2 linked regions of the Daphnia pulex genome follow. The protein of the gene in region 1 binds, or shares a complex with, the protein of each later gene. Links are inferred from orthologs where the notes say so. Each region holds a gene or a part of one and is shown on either strand. Other genes may lie near its edges.

Region 1 (3,758 bases):
TCCAGGATAACAGTAGCGTTATCTATTTTACAGAGAGAAAAGAAAAAAATGCAAACACTGACAACAATAAAAGTGACGAGAACACAGTATACATACCCTTTTCATTACGATCGACATCCATGCTGTCGTCGGAACCTTGATCGTTTTCACGTTCCAGAACATTCCATCCACCGCGTTCTTGAAGACGCTCAGCCTCCCTTTTTCGCTCTTCTTTTTCTTGATTTCTTCTGCGTTCTTCTGCCAACTGTCGCTCGAAATCCTATTGCCAAAACAGAAACGCAATTAATTAAAGTCAAAACCAAAAAAAAAAAAACATTCATGCAATGAATTACCATTAACTCATCTTCGTCTTCATCACGATTGCCTGCCATACCATAGGTTGGTATGTCACCAAGAGTACGACAGAATTCTGCTGTGGCATTCAGTATGATACTACTCTTCAGAGGATCCTCTTCCATACCTTCCGTTTCTTCCAAAGGCTCGCGTTTTAATGACCGCGTAATCATGTTCATGTCCCACTGATCAGCCTTCCTTTCTTTTAGTTTATTAGCTTTTAATAGTGCCTGACGTATTTCTTTTTGGGATTCGTCTACAGTAATCTTGAATCCGCTTAAATCTGGCGTTGGATAAACAAGACATAATAAGTAATAATAAAACAATATACTAGTCAAACTAAAATACCTTCTGTGACCTCTTCATCCATTCTCTTCTTTCGAGATCTCGATCCCAAGTCTGACGAAGTTGTTTCTTGCGTTTCTTGAATAAGATCGTCAGCTTTTAAAATGCCGTCGCCTTTGGATCGAACCTTTTTGACGCGACGTTTAACTTTTTTGAAGGAAACCATTTCTTCTGCTGTATAATATTCAGATGCAATTTGGAGCGGTCGCGATTCCAGTGATTCAATTTTCTTCTGTTGCATTTTGAGTTTGTCTTTCATCAACTTTTGGGCTTTCATTTTGGCTTCTTCATCTCCAATTTTACCTAGAATTTTAACATAAATATTTTTGTAAAGATCAACAAAACAAATCTAATATTTTACCTAGGACAAAGCTATCATGTTTTTCTCCTTCTATTTCTGTGTCATATTTAGCAAGCAAGAGCTTTGGTTTGGGAAGGCCCAATTCATCAACTTCTTCCTCTTCATAGGGCTGATATCCCGGTCTCTGTTTCTTGATTTCATTGTTCTTTTTGTAGCGTTCTATATCAACAAGGTTGACATTCACCAAAACATCCCCTTCCTCTTGCAAGATGTTTTGATCTTTAAGAGTCAATACTACTTCTTTCCCTTCAGCTATCATTTCCTAACAAAATAAAGCAACATCAACACAGGTATTCAAATAAAAGTATACGTTGTCGGTGACTTACCCGGTCATGTTCTACTTTTATTCCTCGTAAGTCTCTACTTGTGTATGCTTTTGCTTTTTGTTTAATCAGTTCAGTAGTTACCATATCTCCTACACCAAATGCTTCATCCATTTCTTCAAGCATTTTTGCTCTTTTATTAGCTTCTTCCTTTTCTTTCTGAATCCTTCTTGATTTTTCAACCCAGCTAACAGCATTGTCATCATCATCAGCTGTTGTATGAGCAAGAGTGCGCACTTGTGCAAGCTTTTGTTCTATTTGCCTCTTTTCTCGTCTTTCATCTAGTTTTCGTCTCAACTCTTCTGTGGCTTTCTTTTCACGGAGGTTCTCTAGAGAAATACCACATTTAAATTGTACAAGTAAAGACATTTAAATGAAATCATTACCTGCTGGGACATGAACATCCTTTTTCTCAGTACTGGCTTCAACATTTGAATTTTCTCCTCCAATCTCCAATGGCTTCAAACCAAGTTCAGCTCTTATTCTGTTGGTTTCCTCAATCGAAATGGAAGTATCATTGGTTGAATTAGCAACTGGTCTTTCATCATTCCCTTTTCCTTAAAAAAAATTATTGGTTACTAGTTACTAATAAACATAATTTTGAATACATACCTGTCAACAGTTCTTCGCTCTGAATGTTGAGACTTATATCTTCCTTTATTTGTTTGGATTTGACGGAGGCATAACTTTTTGAATGTGATCTTGACGGAGACCTAGATGGGGAACGATGTCTTCTTTTTCGAAAATTATTATGATCGCGACTTTCTTTTCGGTCCATGTCTCCTTAAGAACTGAAAGAAAGTAGTTTAACTTAGGTGGGAAGTTTTGATTTCTTTAAACATAAAATTTTTTTCAATAGAATTCCTTAAAATATCAAACAATAAAAGTAGGGTACCAGAATCTGTATTCACTTAATGATCTTGCAACAATTTTACTTCAGAACTTGAGAACTGAGAAGCAGACTTCAGCTTTTGCAATATTTATTTTGATGCCGTTGGGTGTTGGTAAATTGCTAAATGCGGGATTGGAAAGCGGGGACAAATACAAATCCATTGATTCCGCAACAGATGGCGTGTTAATCCTCCTATTGAATAAAACTTAAAAAAAGAAAACAGAAGATAAATTTATCCGTAAATCAATAAAGGAAAAACATAATGAAAACATTAAGGCCAGTATAGTTTTTAACTATTTGTTTTACATGTGAAGACTTGTGCGGCAAAACCAAAAGTCCAAAACGAACAATGTCGTTGTCGATTTTTGTTTATACTAAGGGTTCCAAGATTCCGCACCAGGTTCGCTAGTGAGGTAGGCTGATCGCCTCAAAGACTATAGATGTTATTCCAATGAAAAAGTAGTAGTCGAACAAAAAGTCCTGCGCAGTTTACGCCGATGCGCACCACTGCGGCCGATAGCAGAACCAGAGCAATAGATGCCTGGTCGGTTCTCGGCTGTGTTGGCTTCCCTATCCCGGTTTTAGGGTAAACGTATCCCCGATTTTCAGACATTTTAGGGCGGAGCTTGTCAGAATTGTGAAGTAGAAACTGGAAACAGAGCCATCTAGGCTCTCAAAAGTAGCTAAGCGTAGTAGCTGACACACTCACTAGAGCGCTCATTCCAGTTTCCAAATCGGACCACGTTTACCCTGAATATAGGGTCTGTTGGGGTGACCACCCCCTCTCGATTTTCGCAGCGCTAGGTGGCTTATAGGATGAAGCCCGGCATGGCCGAAAAACGAAGAAATTTTTAGAAATTTTTTCAAAAATTTCAATCGTTAATATCTCGGCTTCTGAGCCGAGCATCGAAAAAACATGAAAATTGTTTGAAGAGGTGGGCTATCCCATCATTATGAAACAATTCGAATATTTCCAGGTGCAGCAGTTGACGAGAAAACTGCTGCACAAAAAACGAAAAAAATTCCAAATTTCGGCTACCCCCTCTCAGTTTTTTTAAAAAAATCTCCCAAATTACAAAAGCTAGGCGATTGCGGTTTTCAGCAATCGACTTAGCGAAAAATTTTGCACAAAACCCATCTATTTGTTAATTTTTAGAACCCCTAGCGACGATTTCCGCTAAATCAAAAACGGCCTCTTTGAGTGGCGAATCGCTTGTTGAATCGTTAGGAATATTGCTCAATTCCAGTTCGAAGTTGCCTAATTCCAGTTACGACAAAAACAGCAAGATAGAGTTGCATTTTGGTTCGGAGAAATAAACTGGTAATACTGTGTTGTTTTTTGGTGGTATATCTTCGTTCCATCCAAATATTTCTCTGTGCAGAGTGACTGGCAAGTTCGATTCAAGAACATACAACAACATCCTCAAAGAACATATTCTTCCTTTTTGCAAGATGAAATCAACTAGACATATTGGTGTAGTACATGACTGGTAATCTTATTTTC
Region 2 (2,551 bases), on another chromosome or scaffold:
GTCCGCGGTGGTGGACATCCGCCCGTCTATTTCCATCACTGCGCCTTGGTCAACGACATTCTCAGTCTAGAATCGCAGCTGGACAAATTGCACCAGTGCCAGTTGCAGCACGACTTGAGTAACAATGGCGAGGCGGACATTTCTTCGTCGCCAAGTCAACGTTTCGTCACCATGAGCGACCATTCACCGGGTATCAACCGCTGTCGACTCACTTTCAATTGTTTGTTTGTTTTTTCTTAATTTTGATTTCTTATTCAGGCCAACCTGGAAGTCAGGTGACGCTGAGCAGCTTCCACCCGTTCGTCCAGCAACAAAACGATTCTGCCTTGTCATTCGGCGAGTGGGAAATTGTTCCTTCGCCCGTCATTTCCGGCTCCACACTCCGTTCGACTGGAAGTCGGGCCGTCGAAGCTGAATTCGATTCCGACTCTTTTGTCACCGATTGAGATTTGAACATCAGTTATTATCATTGCCTTTAGAATTTTCCTCTCGATTCATTTCACGTTGTCCAGTTCGTTTGACGGCCGAATGTTGTGACATTCACACAGAAAGATGAGACGGTGCCTCTCCAATTTTCCTACACTTAAAAGTACATAAATATGAATTCGACCTTCGTAGGCTCTTTTCTAATCGCCTTCTAAAAATATAATTCTGTTTTGCATTACTGCTATATAATTGCATAAAAATTGAATCATTTATTCAAATCATCGTATTATTATCATTGTCGATCCGTGTTCTTTTACCTATCCGTTTTTTTGAAGGATTTTAATAATATTATTATACTATTTCACCTTTTTCTCGTTCTTTTATTATTGGAAAATTGGGAAACAACACACAGACAAATGATCATTGGTTCAATTTAGAAAAAAAAAATCAATTATTCTGGTTGAATGAAAGGGTTGGCAATGGCTTCCATACCGTCAGCAGGGCAGATGAGAACAACAGCTGTTCCACGACAAACCACCAAGCCCAACTGTCTGGTGTCTTCTGACAACTTGAATGAATCTTCCGAATCTAGAAATACAAGACATAACAGGAATTTTAAGTCAATCTTGTTTCACATACAATTTGTGGTAGTTCTCAAGTCTTACCTCTTAGATATTCTACCGTGTTGTCCAGGACAATGTTGAGTAGAGGATCGTAACCTTTAAGTATACCAGCTGCCTCTCTGCCTCCGGTAAACTTGACTCTGATCAACTTGTCCATGTAACGGGACAAGTCCAAGATTCTTTCCTTCTTCTTCTCCTTTAAATCTGCTGGGCTACCTGTTGCCGGTGTGGATTTATCGACCTTTTGCTAAAAAGAAAGGAAATGAATAACGTTATTAGCAAAACCCAGAATGATGTAATTCTAAAGCAGTAGCCAATAAAAGCCATGAGTGACGTGACGCATTGCTATTAATTGTACCCAATTTACGACAGGCAGATCAATGTTTTTCAGACATTATTCATAGCTTAAATATATTCAGTGCTTGTCATTTCATGTCTTGGGATTATAGACCACTAATTCATTTAGTAAATTAAATACTTACGGCTGCCATTTTTGCCGTTTGGGTTTGGTGTACAGAAAACAATAGAGTCGTCTGCAATGTTGTAAAAATCAAAATCGGAATAGCGCAGCACCGGTGCCAAATATTGATTTCAATGAATATTTTAACCACTCTTTTTTTCAAATCTTTTCTTTATAATTATTTTTCCATTCATTGAATATTTTAGATGGCGTTTTTTTTTACTGTGGATTTATTGAAAGCCTCATCAGTTTGGACCGGAGATGGACTGGCAACGGTCCCACATTTGCAGGCAATATGATGAGTCAAGTTTCGATGTAACTCTGCTTGATTTGAATTCTATAAGACGAAATCAGATTACTTGATACTATTCCGACACTGTATTGGTGTTCATGAGGAGCTGGTCAATTTATTGAATGCCAACAACAAAAAGAACAATACGATATTTGATAGATTCCTATCACGATTCCCTCCACTCATCTTAGTCGTCGCGGCCTGACAATCTGAAAAGAACGATTCTTTTGATATTTCAAATTTTCTGTCTATCTACACCGAACAGTAAACGAGTTTTTTAAATGGGAAATCTTTTTTCTTCAGGTTAAAATTGAACTGATCCTGGATAGTAGCCTGCTCTGCTGTATCGTTGAGTCTGATCCTGCCAGCTGCCACTTTTGAATAATGGAATCCAATTGAGTCCAGCCAATCACTTTGTCTTGGGGTAAGTGTCAATCAAATGATCTACCATTCCTTAAGGTTAAAAACTGTAAGAGAAAAATGTTACATGTCATTAGATAGAGACTTTCATACTGTCAGCTTACAAGTTACAGCAGAGGTGGCAGATAGAGGTGTGATTCTGTATTAAAGTCAAGATCACTCTTAACGTGACAATTAAACAGGAGCAAATAAGGTTATGGCCATGTTAGAAAATCAACAATTTATGGCGATAAGGTTAAGGCTGTTTCTGATGTCGGCTGGTTTTCTGTTTGAGTTGGGCTAGTGTCGCGTTCCCGCAGCATTTTGTTGATTTCTTTAACCCACCAAAAC

What was found. Proteins that work in one complex are often made in the same cells at the same time.
Region 2: U4/U6.U5 tri-snRNP-associated protein 1-like (region 1) and U6 snRNA-associated Sm-like protein LSm7 share a complex: the UniProt entries of both Homo sapiens proteins name them as parts of the U4/U6-U5 tri-snRNP complex. The link is inferred for Daphnia pulex from reciprocal best matches to the Homo sapiens genes SART1 and LSM7.

What each region holds. Positions count from the first base shown.
Region 1 is NC_060026.1:10,447,685-10,451,442, reverse strand, and holds the start of U4/U6.U5 tri-snRNP-associated protein 1-like, read right to left. Parts: upstream 2,587-3,758; 5' UTR 2,561-2,586; intron 2,460-2,560; 5' UTR 2,258-2,459; intron 2,177-2,257; exon of another isoform or gene 2,154-2,176; 5' UTR 2,141-2,153; coding exon 1,975-2,140; intron 1,920-1,974; coding exon 1,749-1,919; intron 1,692-1,748; coding exon 1,366-1,691; intron 1,302-1,365; coding exon 1,040-1,301; intron 982-1,039; coding exon 682-981; intron 617-681; coding exon 333-616; intron 260-332; coding exon 97-259; intron 23-96; coding exon 1-22. UniProt on the Homo sapiens protein: Plays a role in mRNA splicing as a component of the U4/U6-U5 tri-snRNP, one of the building blocks of the spliceosome. May also bind to DNA.
Region 2 is NC_060025.1:134,859-137,409, forward strand, and holds U6 snRNA-associated Sm-like protein LSm7, read right to left. Parts: upstream 1,631-2,551; 5' UTR 1,541-1,630; coding exon 1,532-1,540; intron 1,297-1,531; coding exon 1,092-1,296; intron 1,015-1,091; coding exon 878-1,014; 3' UTR 511-877; downstream 1-510. Other genes in the region: myotubularin-related protein 10-B-like, read left to right, coding at 1-190, 259-446; XK-related protein 7-like, read right to left, coding at 2,443-2,551. UniProt on the Homo sapiens protein: Plays a role in pre-mRNA splicing as component of the U4/U6-U5 tri-snRNP complex that is involved in spliceosome assembly, and as component of the precatalytic spliceosome (spliceosome B complex).